2 linked regions of the Lepisosteus oculatus genome follow. The protein of the gene in region 1 binds, or shares a complex with, the protein of each later gene. Links are inferred from orthologs where the notes say so. Each region holds a gene or a part of one and is shown on either strand. Other genes may lie near its edges.

Region 1 (11,026 bases):
CTTTAAAAACTAGAACCATCTCCTTCTCTCGCCCTGCCCCCTGGTACAATGACCATCTGCGATTCATGAAGGCAGCCTCTCGCAAACTTGAGCGTAGGTGGTGTAGGTGGAGACTGCTCAAGCCAAACTGCCCTACCACATTACCTGCCTCATCACAACTTTGCAACACATTCTTAGATTTCTTTAGTTCTAAGACTGACAACATCCGGCATCACATTCTCTCCACTACGGATATCATTTCCATACCTCCTCATCCAACTTCTCTGGTTCCCGTCTCTCCAGCTTCTCTCTTCTTGACTCAGCATCCCTAAACAAACTAGTTACGGGCATGAAACCCACCACATCTATTTTAGATCCCATTCCCACCACTTTATTCCAGTCCTGTTTCTCTTCTCTCTGTCCCATTGTCCTCAATATTATACACGAATCCTTGAGCACTGGCATTGTACCAACGGTCCTCAAAACTACTGCCATTACCCCCATGCCAAAGAAGCCTAACATGGCTCTCGACAATTTTAACAACTTTCGCCCCATCTCCAGCTTACCCTTTCTCTCAAAAATTCTAGAACGTGCTGTCACACTTCAGTTACATAACCACCTCATGACAAACAACCTTTTCGAACCCCTCCAATCTGGCTTCCGTCAACTTCACAGCACAGAAACCGCCCTGGTCAAAGTCACCAACGATCTCCTAATAACTTCTGATTCTGGTTCTCTTTCCATACTCATCCTTCTCGATATCAGTGCTGCCTTTGACACCGTTGACCATAACATCTTACTTTCTCATCTTGAGACTGTGTTTGGAGTTTCTGACACTGCCCTAAAATGGTTTAAATCTTACCTCACTGATCGCTGTCACTTTGTCTCTCTCAATGGGTACAGGTCTGAAATTGGTCTTGTCAAGTCTGGTGTCCCCCAGGGCTCAATACTGGGCCCCTTGCTCTTCAGCATTTACATGTTCCCACTTGGTCGGCTTTTAAGATCACAAAGCCTCAGCTTTAATTTTTACGCTGACAATACTCAAATATACATCCATACCAAACCTGACACTGATGTGGCTGTCTCTATTCTATCTAATTGCATCTCTGACATAAAAATTTGGATGACTCAAAACTTCCTTCATCTTAACTGTGACAAGACTGATGTCATGCTTATTGGTACCCCCATCAACTTCGTAAAGCCAGTCCTTTAACCCATCTGTAGATGGCTCTGTACTTTAATCAAAATTGAAAAACCTTGGGGTTATGTTTGATTCTAGCTTAACATTCGACCCACATGTACAGCATACTGTCAAAACATCTTTTTTTCACCTTAGAAATATCGCAAGACTACGCCTTATGCTATCATTAACTGTGGCTGAAAAGCTGATCAACATATTTGTATTCTCTCAAATTGACTACTGCAATGCTCTACTCTCTGGGGTATCTAAATCTACTCTGAACAAACTGCAGTATGTCCACAATTCAGCAGCCAGAATCCTGACCAGGTCTAGTGCAAGTGTTCACATTACTCCTAACCTGGAGTCCTTGCACTGGCTTCCCGTCAAATTCCTCGTAGACGTTAAAATCCTCATGCTCACCTATAAGGCTCTACATGGCTTGGCACCTCAATACCTGTCTGAACTATTATTGCCCTACTCCCCACCTCGCAACCTCCGCTCTTCAAATTCTGCCCTCCTTACTGTCCCCCAAGCCCGTCTACATTGTATGGGTGACAGGGCCTTCTCCTGCTATGCCCCCAAGCTCTGGAACTCTTTGCCCAAGGATATCAGAGAGTCACATTCTCTAAACACCTTCAAATCCAGACTCAAAACCTTCTTCTTCAGAAAAGCCTTTATTTAACTGGTTCCATTCTTCACTCCTGTTCTTCTAAGTACCACCTTCCATGGTCTCCTCTATTGTTATTGTTGTAATTGTAATTGTATCTTATCTTGTGTATTCTTCTTATTTATTGTTGCAGTCTTCTTATTTATTGTTATTGTCATCCTTTAAAGCGCTTTGAGACGCTACCTTTAAAGGCGCTATATAAAATAAAGTTTATTATTATTATTATTAAATACTTATGAAATCATGATGTTTCCATTTTTCTTTCATATGAATTTTCAATTGACTCATTTTTGTTTCCTGCTTTGTGTGGAGAACTTTGTTGATATAGCAAAAATAAATGTTACACAAAGTGCAAGCTTTAAAACAACAAGGGTCTGAATACTTTTGTATGGCACTTTAGAGAAACACTTCAGAATCTAATAATACTCCTTAAACCTCCAATTGTCCTTTCTTAAATATGGTATTGCTGTAAAAACAGTTTTGGACTAGAGAATCTGTAAAGAAAATCTACTCTTTGAAATGGTATTTAATTAAAACAGAGTACCTACCTGAGAAGTGCTGTTCACCTTTAGGGTTTCACAGTGAGAAGCAGTAAAAGGATTCTGAAATCTGAAAAACCCGGTGACTCCCGTCAGTGTTTTTTTGACAATACTGACAGCTCCATCTAGGCAGAAAGGATTAAACATTACAAGACACCACATGTCAAAACTGGAGCATACTCACTTTTACTTGTGAGATTTGTTAGGCACAAAAAAAAGAGAACATTCTGTTTAGAATAAGTTGTTCAATATGCATTAACTGCTTAATAGAAAAGAGCAAACCTTTGCATCCATCCATTTTATTATTCAGGTTTAGGGAGTTTAATGATTTACATTCCAAATAGACAAGTTGATTTATTATAATCGTAACTGAACAAAACATGTTGCTGAAACGTTAATGCAAAGATACTTTTTTTATATAGGGTAGAAAATTGTTTCTGGGCACAAGTAAATAAATAGGGTGATCAGATTTAATTACAGGCGTTACTGGGCCCAACTAAATTCGTTTTTAGCATATGAATTAATTTCCCCAACAAGCAAAAAAAGAAAACAAATCTAGAGATCAGAGCTGCACTGACAATTTCACCAGGGAGAGACAAGCCTGAAAAATACCTCTTCTGGGTCTTTTGATCCCCGAACATTCAGTCTGGGTGTCTGATGTCTGGATGCTGGGAGGGGGAAAACACAGAGGCCATTTTAAAACCTGGAATAAAAGTTATTCCTCACTAAACTCGATGCTGTGGCAAACTAAGTAAGGTGCCATACCTGTACATTTCACCAGTACAAATACATGTCCTGCAACAGCAAGAACACTGTGCCAGACAGCCAGATGAAAACAGCTTTTATGGGAAAACCTTAAAAGGTTTTAGGTGGATACATTACGACCCTAAGAGAGGCAGGCTAAAATGTCAAGTTTATTTTTTCAAACGTTTATTCGTGATTCAGCTATTTGACAAACGGAATTAATACAATAGTTAAAAATTGTATTCTCTGCCAAACAAATTCTAGCACCGATAAAACTACGGGTAACGAGCTATCAATGCGTAAAGTTGCAATTTAACTTCACTAGCAAAGACAATTGGAAAGCAAAACGTCTTGAAGTAAACTCCACGACACTGTCTAAGTTACGGTTTTTAAAACGCCGAAACAAACTTGGCATGACTCGAACAAATACGTGTTCGACACACTATTTCATTTCATTAACCATTATTGTTTCTCGTTATTCTTATCAAACTGCCACTTGACTTCGAAACAAAACATGTCAATAAAGAAAAAGTTAACGAGGCACTGGTCTGCACACCCGTCCCCCGTCGCTCAAACCTGCAACACACCGACCTCTGGTAATTTCTCTTAGCGGGGCTGACGCGGCTCTGCAGCCGAGGAGCGGCGGCGGAACTCGGCGGGGTCTCGGTGCCGGGAGGACTCCGCGTCCTTTGCCGGGAACGTGGAACAAAGAACGACGTGATGCCGTTAACTATCCATTCATACATATCAGAAAACCGCGACAACAAGGCCGCCTGTCCGTCTGTCACTGTCAGGGCCAGGTCTGAAGGGTGCTGGGTTGACCAGCCTCCGAACAGGGACACCAATTCGCGTCACGACCGTCTCATAGTAATACGTCTGAAAAACTGAAATAAACTACCTGGTTGGTTAAACAAAACATTAAGATTTTACATCCTGGGGTTTCATTGGCTAACTGAACGACAACAATACGTCAAACACGCACTTCTCAATTTGCAGTACTAAACCCAGCCTTCTCAGTTCAGCACGGACCAAAACACAATAAGGCCGAACCTCGTTGATGCGCATGCGTACCAGCAAGCGAGTGACCGAGCATAGCAATGCAAGGGTGGACATCCGCACCGCGGGAAGTATCCAGTTTGTGAAAATGCACTGCAAGGGTACAGATGTGTTTTGACATTTAATTATATGTAGTTCTACAAACACTGTGAGTGATGTTTTATAGTGTTGCAGGTAAAACTCACAACGTGTGTTTTATTCAAGCTTTCAACGAGGCTGAAGCTAATTTGCATCGCACTGTGTGTTTTATTTACCCACCAATTATTCCGTTTCGGAGCTGTCAGAGAAATCTGTTTTTGCGAATATTATTTCCTGTTTAATAATATAAACTTTTAATCAAATAACAATTATATTTAACGTTTTAGCTTATTATATAAAACAATCGTACACACCAAGTTCATACAACTTCAGTCTAGTCCTACAATTACATTAATAATTACAATTACACCAATTATAAACTGAACTGTGTTTACAGTTAATACATTACACTTTATAATTAAGAAAGCAAAACAACAGCAGAAAGCAGAACCATGAAAAACAGACTTATCAGTCCTCTCCGCGTATACGTAGTGTATTTGTACATAAACGGTATATTACGTATTGGACAGTTACATGTCAGGCTGATATACCATTACATTATATGGGTAAAATCTCGGATTTTCTTCTGCGGTCAACTGTCAAAACGTAAACTTTTTAGATAACAGAGTCGATACAGTTGCGCGAATACAATGAAGTAGGTAGGTGTTTATTTTGAACACTCAATGAAGTAGGTTTATTTTGTGGTGTGTTTTTCACATAAACACTTCATTTTTATAAATAGCCCTGTATAATTTGTTAATTAATATTCGCAAATTAAATAATATTCGCAAATTGTCATGTCAAGTTTTTTTTTTACAATTTTCATTATCACACATGATTAGAACTTACAGCTATATACTTATACAGCTTGTTACAGTTTTCAAAACTGATCTGTTTTGATATTCTTCTCCAGGGAACTAAAAAGGAATGTATATACTTTTTAATTAATGAAGTTCACTAATGTTTATCAATCCTTTTTTTAAGTAATACCAAGAGACTTTTTATTTTCTGCCTCTCGACTTCTTCTCACCTCCTCATGCTGTATTTCTGTGATGAGAAGCTTTGGGGGGACAGAACAGGAAACCCTTTTTGCCACAAAGTCGAATTTGTTTAAAACAATTTAAAGTCAATTTAGTTTAAAGACCAGGCTTAAGGATTTGTTATATAGTTTTTCAGTCGTACCCTCATTAACAGCATATCACGCTCTTTTTGCGTCTGCATCAAGCTAGCCTTAACAGGTTCAATCACTCGTAATTGTGTTCTTCACACTAAAAACTAATTTGCGACGTATTACAGTACTATGCGATGCAAAACATTTATACAGTCATATACACTCCATTATTTTCTTTATTTCATGAACGTTGCTTATGTTTCTATTAAAACACTTAATGTAGCCCACACTACAATACATGAACAGAAAGGTAAAAATGTGGAAAATGTTAAGTTGAACAACTGCCAGTTAGCTATCTCTCAGGACAACACACTTCTCACAGATCATGCTAGTGCCTTTAGGTACACCTCATTATTTTGTTAACTAATTAATTCCTTAACCTTATACAGCACTTTTCTGGACACACTACTCAAAGCACTTTACAGGTAACGGGGACTCCCCTCAACCACCACCAATGTGCAGCCCCACCTGGATGATGCAACGTCAGCCATAGTACGCCAGAATGCTCACCACACACCAGCTATCAGCAGGGAGGAGAACAGAGTTCTGAAGCCAATTCATAAATGGGGATTATTAGGAGGCCATGATTGGTAAAGGCCAATGTGAACTTTGGCCAGGATGCCAGAGTAACACCCCTACTCTTTTCAAGAAACACACTGGGTTTTTTAATGACCACAGAGAGTTAGGACCTCGGTTTTAAGTCTCATCCGAAGGACGGTGCCCGTTTACAGTATAGTGTCTCCGTCACTATAATGGGGCATTAGAACCAAAACAGACTGCAAGACACCTCTTCCAGCAGCAACCTTAGTTTTTCCCAGGTGGTCTCTCATCCAGGTACTGACCAGGCTCACACCTACTTAGCTTCAGTGGGTTACCAGTTGTCAGTTGCAGGATTTTATTCTGTTCATCCGCTGGGTGAATAGCCCCTAAACAGATGGAAACCCCATTACAATGGGAAAAGGATAGCTAATGGGATAAATACATTTTCATCAACCACATATCCAGTCTCCTCTTTGCTTATGTCAGCCACCTTAGCAAAATGTCAATTTAGTACTAAGTAAAATAAGCTGTTACAAAGCCATATAGTGGCACTTATAAAGCAACATTGGCATACTCTAACAGCTATCATAAAACTTGAGCAAAAAATTGTATGCACAAGACATTGATACCCTAACATCAGTGGTGTCCAATCCAATACATTCCCATGGAAACTAGTCACTAGTTACTACTATACCTACCATCACTGTTAATTTAATTGTCCCATACAAACATGATACTCACAATGCCAGCTTTATCTGCATTGAATTTTACTGCCATACACAGCATAGTTTTCAGTGTTGGGCTAGCAGACCTTACAAGCATTCAACATTAAAAGCAGGAATGCATCAGCTGTGAAAAGGTAGGAGAAAGTGTAAAAAAACTGGTGTCGGGCCGGAGGTGTGAGGGCTATACTGACACGAAGTTTGCATAGAATGGCTAGTGTCTCTGTAAGGATGGTACATTCCGTGTCTTTCCTTGTTCTGGGGCTTCCCATAGATCAAAGGTCCTCCTTGTGCAGTTACCTGACAGTTCAAGGTGACGTGTGATTGTGAGACAGGTCTAACTGGACTTTAGACTGAGATAAATACGCACTGCAGCATTAATCGTGGTCATCTGCATGACTTGATCAATGATCCCCAAGCAGTTAGCTCTGCCCACTTCCAAGACATCAAAGGGAGACTTCCACTTGCCTGAGAATGTGACCTGGTAGGAGGAGCTTCAAACACCCCAGTCATTAGGACTCATGGGGCACACAGACAGAAGAAACTAAAGTAAAACCGTTCGTACCACAGCACACAGGTAAGGACTCAGACACTAAGGATTCTAGTAGAGAATTAGAGGAAGGCTCCAGCATCATCTTCCTCTCCCCTACCGAAGCTAGATTCAGAGCAAAACAGGGTGGGAAGGCACATAAGAGACCACATTGTCCAGTATGGCCAAGACTGAGGAGATATCAAAAACTACAAATAGTTTCTTCTGTCTGTGGTGGAAGAAAGCATGCCAGCTCACCAACTGGAGTTGGTTTTAGAGAGCAGAGATGTTGGACTGCTCCTCTGGGAAATTTGGGTTTTGGTAAGTGGGATGCATGGGGATCTTTTACTGTTCTGTGAGTATGTGCCTCTTTTGATTAAGTTGTGTTATGTATTCTGTGTATTGGGTAGGCAGTTATAGAATCTGTCGCATCGCAGGTCCTGTGTGATGAATAGATTGATAATAAAGTATTAAAAAGTGTAATTATGTATGACACCTGTTCTGTGCAGATCTTTGGGTGTACTGATGGTTCTGGTAGGATAGAGGAACCTGTTGTGGAGCAAAAACGGTCCTAGTACTCTTAATGTTGCTAGGTGGAGTAGCTAGCAACAAAAGCTAACATTATCCTGCATTTAGGGATCACGCTCTGTGACAAAAACTTTTTGCAAATATACTGTATGTGTTCCGGTAAAACACATTAAATATAAATTGATTATGTTTGCTATGAAGTATATATGGGTGGCTCTCCAGAACCAGGAATCTCTATGTCATTGTGATAGAGTCTGTCTAGTTCAAAATTTAATACAGGGCAGCTGGAAACCCAATTATTTACCAACAAAGAGCTTAATACAATAAACACTAAGTTGTTTCCTGGTTTAGAGAATACAAACAGAAAACAAAAGACTGTTTATAAAAGGCTTTTAAATTGGTAAAATAATCTACTTCATTTTCTTTTTATTCAGTCTTATAGTGATTTTGTTCCAAACATAAACAGTTACTGTTTCACAAAAAGAAACATATGTTGTTAGAATCGACATTTATTAAAATTTCAAGCACTTTGCAAAAAATCATAAATACAAAAATACATAGCTTACAAAGAAAAGAAAGAAATAGATATAGTTTGTGACAACAGTAGGTGAAACTATTGGAAAGGTCATTCCATATGGATAGATGCACTAAATTAAGGAGAAAACAGTCCTTTAAAATAACATGATATATTAAAGCTTTACTGAAAAGAAGCAAACGTTTCAGGCTAAATATAGCATTATTAAGATAACATATAATAATATGGCTTTTTCTTTCAATAACCCCTTTTAAGAGAAGATTTGTATTCAGAATCATGAAGAATATTTAACGTAAAATCTATTTCAACTTCTAACTACATATATTTTTATACATCTGCATCAACATTCCATGGTTTGCTCAAAGTGATATAATCAGCGACTGAGTTTAAAATGGACAGTCATTTGAATACTGAAACACTCCTTTGCAGCCTTGCACAGGAAAGAAGATGTAGCAACAATCTGCAAGGATCTCAAACAGTCTGGTCCCTTCCTTCTGTATGGATGTCAGCAATGTCCAACCTATACACTCCCAGTCAGATTGCTTAAGGTACTGCCTGAAGATGGATGCAACTTCTTTGTGAAGATAAAATGGATAGTCACCTAAATGCCTGTCAAAATAAGAAGGAAGTGCTATAAACGTAGATCAGAGATCCTAGATTGATCAGCCAAGTGAACTGCGATACATCCACTGCCACTCACAGTAAATATCTGTTTACAGACACTAAACTCAAGCACAACCTCTCCCATTATGGATCACATATACAGTATACTGTCATTAAAATAATTTCTTGCTACACACAGCTTTTTCTGGAAAGGAGAAAACCATCGAGACATGGAACCCCAGAGATTTATTTTTTTGTTTTTCTCTGATCCTTCCTCGATGGTTACACTGTTACTCTACAATACATTAAACTACTTTACATCCACTTACACTAATTTCCTTTTGACATATTTAACTGTATATCCCCATCTGTATAATTTGTGTTTAATGCAGTAAAAACACTATGTGACCAATTGATTTGAAGGGTGCAACACAAAGATAAAATTGAATTGAATCAGCAATTTGTAGACTTTCTTTCAAGAAAATGATCTGCACAAGAAACATGCTGTAACAAAAGGAGGAGAAATACCATCCGAAGTATTTCGGAGTGTAAGAGAAATACATTTCTCTTAAAATAATCACTTCACCGGACACTTCAATAGATAAAAGGCAACTTTTTGTCATTATGTGCAGAGATTTTTAGGAAGCATGCCCATATGGGTAACAAAGGAGAATAAATTGTGGTGAATTTTGGTTAAAAAGTTTCAGCCTTTTAAGAAAGGATTAGATACCCTTCAGCATTACTTTGACAGAAAACATAGGGCAGGTGGCTTTAATGTGTTTGTCTGACAAATGTTCATCAGATATGTTTTTTATTCAATTATTTGACCGATGTCTGAGACATGCAGCTCGCAAAACCATTATGTTACATTAAGAAAAATTCATACATTCACATTAAAATTTACACAGTGCAGAATATGTAATGAAGTGTAAGACAAATGAACTCTCAGACCGTAAAAAATAGTTGTTGGCCTAGGCTGCATTGAATACAAATATGGTTTAGCCAGCATAATGAGACATTTTAAAATAGTACCTATCTAGTTCTTAAGCTACTGTTTTTAAAAAGTAATTAAGTAGGTAAGCTCACCTCAAAGGCCCAGTGGGACTCTGTTGTGGAACCCATCCATTGTTACCCTTATAAAGACAACATTTTTTTATTTTCAATTTTCATGAAAGAAAACTTTAAACATATCAGGATCCAGTCTTAGTTCAGTTCTAGAACCAATGTACTGTTTATTATAAAAATAATTGCATTTATTTTACCATGACTAATATTTTTAGTGTTTCACACAAACTTACATTCTTGTTGTAGTCTAAGTGGATTTATTGTGAGGATAGTCATACTTAAAGGGCTGTTTAGATAGATAGATAATACTTTATTAATCCCGTAGGGAAATTGATGTGTTACAGCAGTCCAGTTTATGGGCCATAGCATTCACTATAATTTCATTCCTTATTTGTTGCTTCCAAATGTTGCTTCAGTGGAGATTTGCTAGGTTAAATACTGTAAGTATACCCCCAATAAATGTTTACAGTACCTTCCAACATCAATTGTGAAAGAGTGTGTTAGGGAAGCAACTTGAGAATGCACGTGGCTCAGAAGGACATTGATGAAACCTTTAGTGCAATACTTCACATCCTTGTTTCAGTTTCTGTACCTCACAGATGCTGTGCAGATTCTTACGTGTTAAGAGGTGGGAGTGTAGTGGGGCCCGTCAGGTGATGCACTGATGGTTGGTAACCACCTCCCTGGCCCATGGAATTAGAGGCCACCATAGGTGGCCACATGGGGAAGCTGACAGGTGGAAGCTGTCCAGGAAAAGGTGGGAATTGGAGGGGAGGAGGGGTGTAGTGGTGGTGATGATGAACTGAACTTCCGCGGGGCTTTTCTGACTTCAGGATGATGGGCGAGCCCAAATAACTGTCCTAGAAGATGATGAAGATAATAAAAAATTGAAAAATGCATACATAGGATAGCAGCTGGTAATTAAATCTAATAGATTTCTTCAATTTGCAGTCCACGTAACATGGACAGGATACCAGTCCATTACAGATCTGCCAGGATTATACCCTCTCGCTCTTCTCAGTCCTCGCTCACTGTTGAGATCAACTTTAGTCTTTCTCTTGTGCGCGTACCTTACTGAGCTGACTTCTGA
Region 2 (11,210 bases), about 400 kb from region 1:
TGAAACAGGATATCACTGCTCAATATACAGCAATTGAACACCGAAGATCACTTCTTCCAAGGCTGTATGGTCAGTGAGTGCCAGTGCAGACCTTCAGAGTGGCACTTGTTGCAAACGTACAAGCACTATTACACAGTTCTTCAAAAGCAACAAGGACAACATTGTGTAATTGCCCTCTGGTATGCCTGAATGCAATACTTATAATCGGTCTAAATAATTTTTTAAACATTACATATTAACTGTAATATGTAAAAAAAATGTTCACCTCAAAACAAACTAAAACTTGTAATAGACAAGTATTCAAGTCAACAGGCGTTGGACCTCCATACTTATAAAAGAAGTGATACTTCTGATGCTTCAAACGTGCTGCAGGTTCTTGCTAAAATAGGTACAAATTACATTAAGCTATCAATAGTTCAGGTTTGCTACTGTGACAGGAAATGGAATAAGTATTGCCTGTATTTCTATAGTGCCTTCAGTCCCAAATCAATCACATGTATGAGGAGATCTATATTGTTTACTACAGAAGTGGGCACTCTCTTGGAAGGCCTGCAGCATCCATTGTGCTCCAGCAGCACAACAACAGAACACAGCAGGTAATGTCAAAAACATCTCATTTCATTTAAGAAGGCAAATTCAGGTGGAACGGACAGGGCGAGCCTAAAACTACAGTTGTGACAAACAGAAGCAGGCTTTAAGTGCCTCTCAATTGTTTTGAGTTTGTCCTTACCTGCGCAGGTGTGTCCGTTTCATTGATTGGCTGTCCATCAAACCTGAATCTAATTTGCCTAATTGACAGACCCTGGGAATCAAAAAATAGAAGAGTTAAACCCTCATGAATAACCGCATCTAAACATTGCACTTTGCAACATTACCAGTTACCACTCTAAATAGCTCAAATGGCAGTCAAAGCTAAAATACAATATGTTGTCATTAAAGGTGCAGGCAGACAGTGACTATTACATTTCCCATGCCTCCAAAGCAGCACACTGGTGAATGTGCTTGATAAGCACAGACTAAAGCTCTGTGGTCACCAGTTTGATGTTGGGTCACGTCACTAGCCAGCAATGACAGGCATTTCTCCAGTGAAAAGCATGCGACTGACTGAGCACTGCCGAGGTTAGGCTGCAGAGTTGACCAGGGCCCTCAGCGACACACTGAGCCCTGTGGTTTCCTGGGTGCCTGCACATATGATATGCTGTTCGGGGATGTGTCTTTCCTCCATTTAGCACTGAGCCTCCAGATGTAGTGCCTTTGACATGATGAGTCTCCCTTCACATCCTCATTTTCCTGCATGCAGTGACAGGGCTCATACTTGTGAGCATAGGTGAGCAACACACAGCTGGCTAGTCCTAATCAGCTGGGTCTAATTACAAGAACCATCAATATATATATATAATATATATATATATTACAGGAAATTGAAGAGGAAAACTGCTCCCTCATATTTCTAGCCTTCAAAAAATGGACAATTCAGAAAATCACAGAATACTTGTGGACTAATTATAGACAAATACGTTTATGATTAGGCTTAGCACTCCATTAGAAAGATGTTTCTCTGGACAATCCTCAAACCTTTAGAGACAGAAATGTTTTTTGAAAGAGTACTGCTATAATCACTGGTACACATCTTTAAAGCGGAGTAAGAGAGGTAAGCACTAACTGTAACATTCAGCACTTAAATGAAAAGAACACAAAAATGTGTCCTGTCCTTTATAAATAACTCTCTAACAGAACTATTTCCCTGATTACTGTTTTAAGTGTGAACCACAAAACCTACACTGAAGCCTGCCATAAATCCAATCCATCTGTTGACTAAACAGTAAATAAGCACATTGTCCATATAGTTCTATATTATCCTAAATAATGTGGGCATGCAATAAAATATAATCAGCATTATACTATTTAAACGTTGACAGTTTGTGCATTCCCAGACTGATCAGGGCATATGCAGGACAATTGTTAACATAACATTCGCCTACACAAAGACAATTAAGCACAGCATTACATAATTCTTTCTCTCTAAAACAGACTCACTGTGACGTGATTCCAAAGGAACAAGTTAAGATTAATTCCACACAGAAAACTAAAAAGAAAATACAGCTGCCGGCTCAACAGTCAATACATTGAATTTCTCCTTCTATGTTTCAGTGTGGAATTAACCATTCCTTGTAGCCTAAGAGGTGACGGTTTTTGAGAAAACAATGGTCAGGAATGCAGGTTTGTTTGCATGTTGATATAGTTAAAATATTGCTGTTTTTTATTTTGCATTTGAGCTTTAAAGCAAGCCACAACTGTCTTTTCTTCAAGTGCTGCTACAACTATTTTGCATATACTATGCCTTGCAGCATGGCGATATTTTAAAAACTAAGATTTTAGTGGGTATTTTTGGCTTGTTTTAATTTGTACTGTAATTGCCTGATCCATGTAGTAACTGTAAAACCCTTTGTCCCCAGTACTGTAGCCTGGCATACTTAAAAGGCACATCTGCACTGAATTCTTTTTTTTGTTTGTTCGATTTCTCTGGAACTTGGGTGCTCACCTTTTAAAGGCACGATTGTGCTCAGACCAGATTATTCCTCAAAATAAAAACATAAAGTCCTGCAAGTGTCCAAAGTTTGAGAAACCCCATGGCATAATTCTTGCACCCACATACACAATGTGCACTTAATAAGCCTGTGCAATGCTGAAGATTTTACAGGCTCCATCCAAGAAAAGATTAATCATTATGAAGGGAAAGTAGCTCTAGATTTATACTGTATGTGCACACAATTACAGATGTCCTGCATCCACACATGAATCAAACCTTATGAATTATTTTGCACCAATGCATACGGGAAAACACCACCGAAGGAAAGAGTGCACGTCCTAAAATGTTATGAAGATATGCAGTCTTTGACACTCAAGTATGGTTGCCTACATCCTTATAAAGGCACTTTAAGGAAGATCGCGGTAAAGAAAAATACTTCAAAGGAATGTTTACCTGTCTTTCGCAGTATGCCTTCATAAGTTTGCTGAGGGGGGTGTGTCTTTTAATTTTAAACTGGACAACAGAGCCATCCTGACCAGCCACCTTCAGGTTAATGTGGTCATTCTCGGTTTTCACTGCTTCCTGAAAGTGAATTAAAAACAAGACTATCAAACATGGATTAATCGCTCAAATAAATCTACAGAAGACCTGTAGGTCTTTTTTACATAGTAACAAAGTAGCTTGATGTAAACAAATCAAGTTACTTTAGAACCCTCATAACGTGTACTAAAGCATCGACCATTTTTTCTGCGCACTAACTGCTGAAAGCATCTCATACGTTGACTATTTTTTTACTTTTTGACAGCTACAGCGAAAATCTTTACAGTACGTAATGATTTACTTGAACCAATGTATTCCTACGGATCGTTGTGTTTAATACCTTGGCAGAGCATCACACATGGTGAACCCTCCAGCTCCAGCAAAATCGCCATGTTTTATCAGTTGTGCTGCATAAATTGGAAATGTTGTACTTTTTATCATTATTGCCAAATATAAAACGTACCTTACGTTACTATTACTAGCCTAATATTGTTATGGCATAGAATTGGCATGACAGGAGATGTTCATAATTTGTAATCGAAAAAAGATGTACACTTTATTCTCAACGAATGAACTGCCTTATTTCAGTACAGGGGAAGAAACGTTCTCATTAATTGATAGAGATTGGGATTTATTGTAGTTTCACGTTCTTTCTCAACTTTGTAATTTGTAACAAGGTACAAGGCCATATTCATTAACGTACCCCCTTCCCCAGTGAAATTACAAACTAAATGGGACGAAATCATAGTTAAAACAAATACCTATGTAAACAAACGAAAAGGTAATCACTCCCTCCACGGTCGTGTAAAGTGTGCTTTACCAAAAAGCACTGTTAAACTGCATAACGGTGATGCGCTCAGCTTTGTAAATGGAGGCTGCTTGCACTGTGCATCTTTCCGCTCAGCACCTCTCTCCTTTGCGGCATTTCTTACGCCGAAGGCGTAGCTCTGCTTTGCGACTCCATTACCCTTTCACAAAGAAAATCGCGCAAAGCACACACTGAATTCCAACCCGAGGAGATTGCGCGGCAGAGGGAAACAATGGCGCAATTTCAATGAAAAGCCCCATCCTAATGCACCTTAGTAAATTTTGCTGAAGAACCAACCTATGCTTCCAAATTCCAAATAGCAGATTTTATTTTTTTTATTGCATATATTTTGGTTCTCATTCTACTCACAAAAATGAGGAATCCCCTGCCCTAAACACAGCCTGATTGCCCATACCGCTAAATAATCACACAAAATATAAATCGTCTTTTTTTAAAGCATCAGAACCTTACCTTTGGCTTTTCTTCAGACATGATGCCTCTGATTTGTAAGTTTTCGGTGTGGATTTATTGAAGGACAGCTTTTCAATACACCTCTGCCAGTCGTCTCCACCACTGGAACGCGCCTTGTGCCTGAAGAGCCCAGTCACTGATAGGTAGAAAGCACGTCACGTGACGCTTTCTCGGGTACGCGCATGTCCTGCAAGCAGTTGGGTGTCGCGGAGATCGCCATAGTGAGGATTTTTGCTTTAACTTGCTCAAAACTAACTGTATGTATAATGCGCTGGAACAAACAAGTTTAGCTAATCTCTAATATCTGTATACACCAAAATAAATCAATTTTCTAATTAATTTATACAATGCCGTTTATTCTGATATGTGATATTTGATTATTTTATGACGACAGGGGGCGCTCGGTGTTCGGACGAGAAAATAAAGTACTCCTACAGTACTGTAAGTTATAGTGATATTTACAGTAAGTGATAAACGAATGCTTGACATTTACCTTAAATGACACATGTTACACATGTAGCGCATTTAACATGTTAAATGACAAATGTAGAAGCGTCTCGGACAGTGAACCATTATTGTCTTTTGCATTCAACTGATAAAAAGTAGATATGTGTGCAAAATTACTTTTTAAGTTATTTTGACTGATGATAATCGTATAAGAAGCAAAGGGACGAGGGAACTACCCGTAGTGGTTAAATAACATTAAATAAATCAAATAAATATTATTAATTTAATAATATCCTTAAGCACATTGAGAACGATTAATGTGCCTTCATATTCACTGGGAATTATTTTTTATATCAAATAGATCACATAAGAATACAAGGTTCAGCAATACCGTCTAATGCATATTAAACGATTCCCCGGACGAGCACTAATTCACAAATCTTACAAACACTGAAAACATTCTGTATTGAGTACTTAAATAACTCTCGATGAATTTAAACTGATAAAACTTACGCATTAACATTACCTTTGGTTAACATTAAGATAAATAGTTTTGCTACATTGAGGTGATTATATTGAAAAATGTCACTTTTTTAAAAAACGTGCACATGAAATATGCTCAGATGCAATACCTTGTGCAATGTTTGGTAATACTAATGTTTCTTTAAAAAAAACACGTTGAGAAAGTCTAGTTAGGACTTGCAAATAAGTGCATACAAATACATGTCGCTGGTAAAATAGATATCCCATGTGATTATATGCATACTTCATTCAAATATTTAAAGTCATGAAAGGGTTGATAAAATCAGCCTAATGGGATTGCTTCCGAAAAGTATTTGAGGGTGGATTATAGGAAACTACCTTATTCTAGTTCCCAAAATGTCTTTGTAACAAACTACCAGTTGTGTTATTAATTCTGATTCCCTGGGATCTGTAAAGAAACTGCTTGATGAAAACCTCAGATTCATATCCACATAACATCCCTTGTGTCAAAACTAAATTGACAGATAAAGTTGCGAATGTTTCCACACACAAGCTTTTGTCCTTCTCAGTTCAATTCCGTAATTAACATTTTACGAGAACAGAAGGTAAGTAAAACTACTCTGTTCTTTGTGCTGTTGTGCTGTTGGACATTTCTGTAGTTGCACGAACTACACGGAACACAGAGAAGATAATAAATATATTTGGAGTAATAATATTCAGTCACCACTTGTTGCTTATTTCCCCCGTCTTTTTAAAAAATAATTTCTAAATAGTGCGGATCAAGTTAAGCACAATAAACTGACTTGACTAATTTGGGCCCAATTCTCTATCACTCGTGTCCTTTTCAATCTTGTTATTGTCGTACTATACTTTGCCACTAGAGGTCGCACTATGAACAATTTTTTTTAGACCACGCAGATGAAGTAAAGGAGAGAGTTGCCTGAGACGTTACGTGGCTGCGCAAAAAAACCCCTGCTAAATTAATTGTACTTGGCTCCGATTTCTTGTTTTCATTTTTCAACCTTCACTCCCCCAAGCGAGGGCATATTTGTTCCCATTTATCTAATTAATGGAAGGTCACACACAAAAAACCTGCTTTTTGAGTTTTGGATATGATAGATTATGTACAGGTGGGCAGAGGTGGTATACATTACTTACTAAATTGACTCTAATGACTTCAGTTCCCACCAGAATTGAGAGCTTCCTGAACTGTAAAGCTTCCATATTCAGTCTTCAGTGTCAGATGTTTAAAAGTCAAAAGAGTTTTTCTGCAAGATGTGAAACAAAATTTAAAGTTTTGTGAAACTGCTCTCATGTGATGATTCTTTTTCAAGTTTCTTTTTTGCTATTTTTGGCTGTTGCCCACGTTTCATTCACTTTCTTGTCTCAAAAACAAGTTAGAAGCAACAGAAATTCATGACCTTTCCTGCTGAAACAGTTCAAGTACATTGCTATATAATCTAAGACAAACTACTCACTCCCTAACTGTATATACAGTATTAGGCCATGCTACTCCAAGAAGAAATTCCCTACACTGCAGATGTACAGTAGAAGTTGAGAATTCAGTGAGAATTGTTTTGTACTTCGAGCCTCCTTTTTTCTGATGAGGTGAATTGTGAAGAATTTTCAGGTGATGATCTGTCATTTTAGATGAAATAAGGGACTGTAGTATACGATACAATACTACACGATAAGTTTCTGCTACAGCTCACATGAGATATTTCTACTGAATAAGCTACTTGTGTGCATTTTAAACCTAGTCCTCATCACTAAGAGGACATGCAACGTAAGTCACTCTTCCACTAGCTCTTAAACAGGAGCTAGATGATAATAAACTTGGTCCATACCGAAAGGCACATTTACCAAGGCAACCCAAAGGCATAATTGCTGCATAGCAGAATGCAATGTCATAAAATTATGATCGATACCCAACCATGCTATCCAAGCAAATACTTTGGTATCTTCAAAGAAATGGATGGAAGAGATCCACACATTAGCTACTACCAACCTCATGAGCTACATAGGCCACGTGGCCTCGCATTGTAATATTTATTGTGCTCATATGATGCTACAAAGTTTAATCATTTTGTTTACTTACAGAAGCAGGAGAGACCCAATTATGTACGAACACAGCAAAGATTGTAACCATATTAACCTAACTAAATGGAAAGATTTCCCCAAATTACCCTTCGTTCAATCTCAAAGGAGCAAAGCATTTATGAAAGCAAACCAAAAATCTCCTTGTACATTCACCTATTGTATTGTCATCTTAATAAAATAAAATGACAAACAATAGGACATTTTGCATAAAATCTTCTTGTTTGTTTAAATAAAGGCACAGCAACAAGAGATGAATAGTTTTATTTCTTTTATTAAAACAGAAAAGCTCTTTTTAATGGTAAGCTAATAAATGAAACATTAAAACTACACAGAAATCACTATGTGATCGCACTACATTTGCAATTTATTAGGAAACACCAAAATTACCATTATACAAATTCAAAAAAGCGTGAAGTTTTAAGTACCACAGTAAATAACATCATATATATATATAATGTGCTGCTTTTAACAGATACAAAAATATACTTAAGATTAATATCCACAAGCAACCTCTACTCATTTTTGGTCAGTGAATTTGTCGGCAAAGCACTGTTGTAAGGCACAAGATGTAAGGCACAATGGTTTCCTTACTCATGGTTTGTCGTATGAAAAAGGCTTAACGGGCAAAAAGTATGAAGGTCCTATATTTCTATAAAAACTGGAGTGTAAAACAGTGCAGCACATTTTCAATCAAATGATACTCAGTACATAAAGCTGTACTTAAGTAAAGCTCTACATTCGGTGTGAGTAATGATCAAATACAAAGCTGAGATTTAAAGAGTACTGGGCTGAGATGATCTACTGAACTATCAAGGGAGCGCTTAACCCTTAAAAGCTAACTCTTCCTCTTATTCCTTTGGTATATATAATATAGGCAGCTGTGCTTCAAGTGTAAAATTTCCATAAGTGTTACAAACTTACTGCTCAGTGTCTGCCGCTGACATCTGCCTTCCAGAACAGTTACTAACAAAGTTTGCGTATACATTTAGCAATGTGTCAAAAACAGGCTTTCAATAAGTCGTGACCATATCTGAAAGTATTCACCATTGTGAAACTTCTCAAAGTGGCTATACCATTAGACCTATATCAAGCAATTCTCTTTGATCTGTCCCTATATGAAATGCCACAAGTGCCCGATTAGTTTGCTGTTTCAACCCATTAAAAATTGTTATTCTACATGCGAAAGCTTTGTTAAAAATACCCTCTTTATAATGGTTTGCAATGCAGATTGTTTTAGAATAACTATGATGTTAAAATGCTATCATGTCTGAGAACAATTTGTCGTCCAAACATCTAAATATTTTTTCAAAAAGATATTAAGTCTAGCAATTACAGGAACAAAGCCAACACTGCATTAGCATTTATAACAGGAAACATCATTCTTTTCTTTTATGTTTTGTCACTACCACTGAAGGAGCAAAAACTTGAGAAAAAAAGAGCTATTTCAATCTTTGAGTGAATTCCAAGCAGTTAGCTCTGTGTATAATTTCACAGAACTTTACACCAGTATTTTCTTCAAACTATCACTGTGGGAAAATAATTTTTGCAGACATTTCCAGATAAAAATAGCAACCACACATGACATTATCAGATTCTTCTCTTTTTAAACAGAATGCACTTATGAAATGAGTCAGTCTTATCAGGCTAGAGTCACAAACGTCTTAATTTAATAGTAACTAACTCCATGTCTTTATTCGTACAAAGTAAGAACAAAATTACATTCAAATTTTTAATAGCTACTTAAAATATAGTATTTTTAAGAAACCCAAAATGGTATCACCTGAGCTAGACTAAATGGTACTGAAAAATATCTTAATATTATAAATGACTTTGTTGTAACTCTAACCAATGCTGAAGCCTAGTTTAAATATCTTGTTTGCTGAGTCTACTGCTCTGGGAAATCAAACAAATTCAGAATCCTGACCTTTAACTAATGTATTCACATCACCTCTTGAACCTAAAACTCCTAAACCTAAAAGAGTTCTCTGACAATCTTAAATTTGCTAGATTAAATTTTAAAATAATAGATGTTATTAATTGTATTTAGGAACACTAAATTATTTTCAATTATTTTATGCATTGCATTTATTGCTTCTATCTACAAGTTTTAAACAACTCACTTCTTAGTGGAATTAAAGATAATTCAGCTTTTACAAAGGAAAATCTCTTAAACTGGTTGACTTCTACAATGAGATGTAAAGGTGTGTGTGTGCAAAGAGCAATATGGTTCACTCACCTTCACAAAACAATTTATATTTAATTGGCCTTATTGTTTAATGTTGGAATTTTCTGTTCAGTAAGAAAAAAATCTGCAATCAGTGGTCTAACAGGAATTTGTTCGTCCATCGAATAAAGATTTGGAAAGTTGAGGAGCCTCTGGTTCCACTGGAGTTAATTGTTTTCAAATTTAGAGTAAGGGTTGCTCTTCGTTAAACCTAAAAGAGAAAAATTAATTGAATGCATTTGCATACTTTCAAGCTGTACCACATAATAAAAGGAGTTTAAAAAAACGACATAAATGAAATAACATGTAAAGAAGCCAGAATATGACATCCAGATTCCATCGCTTACAAAGCTTACTCTTCCACCATAGCCAAAACAATATTTTATTAAAAGAACAAAAAGCTGCTCAAACTCCTCTTGCTTTAGGTACTGAAGTACTTAATTTGTAGAACATAAATAATATGACAAAAGCACCATAAAAAGTGCAAACTTGTCTCAGCACCACGTTTAAACAACACATTACCATCTAATTTACATCAAAGATCTCCGTATGATGATATCAAATGAATAAACTGAATCAGATACAAGGTGTACTTCCTTTTTCAATTACATGTTGTATTTGTTTTCACCAACAGAGGGTGTGTGCATCATATGTAATATTAAATTCCTTTCACAACAGGGGAGTTGTTGGTTATGCAGCAATTATTCATTTCTTTCTGAAAGATAACTGGCATGTTTGATTTCTTAGAGAAACTACACAGATTCATACTGCAAGCACTTCAGTTAGAAATTCTCGTGTGACTTTCTATAAATCACTTAATAAATTCCTTTGATGCTGTAAAAAAGGGATATGTTGTTTTGAGTTGCTTACCATATTTCCTTCTGATTTCATCGTGTCTCATTTTCATCTCGGCTTTCCTGCAAGGAGACAAGGAAATCTTTTTAAGCTGCAAAGAAACAGCTGACCATCTTATGTTTTATGGCTGGGATCACTAGGCTGTGTTCCCAAATACTAAACTGGTTAGGTCAGAACATAACTTCTGCTGAAGTTTACAGTAAGCACGTCATATGAAATGGTGCAGCTACGTACGAAACAACATTCCTCTTAATGACAATCTTTAAAAGTCATGCTGCATGGTCTAACCATCCCAAAAATCTACCAGGGGGCAGGTTCAATTAATACAGAGAGAATGGGTGCTTAAAAAGTAAACTAATCCTATTAAAGTAGAGACATCTTTTACACACTCCTTTCTGAAAGTTCCAACCTGAAGTTGAAGAGTAATTACAAGTCAAGGAAGTCAGAGAATAGTTTTTTTTCTCTTTTACTTCAATATCTACTGTCATTATACAAAAGCATTTAAAAAAGAATGCAATTAAATGTCTGAAGTAATGGTTCAGGACCTCATGACATTAGAATTGTACAGTACCATCACTAAGCAAGGTGAAGGCAAAACATTTTACGTTTCTTTTAGAACATTACATAAATTGTAAAACAATTCTCCCTTAACTGCATAACAAACCACAGCATATCTGAATTTCCTTTTTCAGAGTCCGGAAGACAAATCTGTAGTACTAGGAATGGTAAATTGTCACAATGTATCATTAAAA

The links.
Region 2: the proteins of senp2 (region 1) and small ubiquitin-related modifier 3 are in contact, whole or in part, in a crystal structure (PDB 2IO1), measured with the Homo sapiens proteins. The link is inferred for Lepisosteus oculatus from reciprocal best matches to the Homo sapiens genes SENP2 and SUMO3. Residues at the interface, in NP_067640.2 of Homo sapiens: Gln385, Asp386, Phe393, Lys394, Leu395, Arg396, Trp410, Leu411, Asn412, Asp413, Glu414, Ser439, Thr440, Phe441, Pro444, Lys445, Arg456, Trp457, Lys459, His474, Lys476, Val477, His478, Trp479, Met497, Gln499, Gln542, Asn544, Gly545, Ser546; in NP_008867.2 of Homo sapiens: Arg55, Arg58, Arg60, Phe61, Asp62, Gly63, Pro65, Asn67, Asp70, Leu75, Asp81, Asp84, Phe86, Gln87, Gln88, Gln89, Thr90, Gly91, Gly92, Val93, Pro94, Glu95.

Annotation. Positions count from the first base shown.
Region 1 is NC_090707.1:24,426,174-24,437,199, reverse strand, and holds the start of senp2 (sentrin-specific protease 2), read right to left. Parts: upstream 4,194-11,026; 5' UTR 3,856-4,193; coding exon 3,686-3,855; intron 3,034-3,685; coding exon 2,978-3,033; intron 2,491-2,977; coding exon 2,375-2,490; intron 1-2,374. Other genes in the region: c12h21orf58 (uncharacterized protein C21orf58 homolog), read right to left, coding at 9,959-10,004, 10,555-10,796. UniProt on the Homo sapiens protein: Protease that catalyzes two essential functions in the SUMO pathway.
Region 2 is NC_090707.1:24,027,152-24,038,361, forward strand, and holds the start of small ubiquitin-related modifier 3, read right to left. Parts: upstream 4,492-11,210; 5' UTR 4,371-4,491; coding exon 4,350-4,370; intron 3,113-4,349; coding exon 2,984-3,112; intron 803-2,983; coding exon 731-802; intron 1-730. Other genes in the region: pttg1ipb (PTTG1 interacting protein b), read right to left, coding at 9,771-9,814, 10,474-10,520. UniProt on the Homo sapiens protein: Ubiquitin-like protein which can be covalently attached to target lysines either as a monomer or as a lysine-linked polymer. Does not seem to be involved in protein degradation and may function as an antagonist of ubiquitin in the degradation process.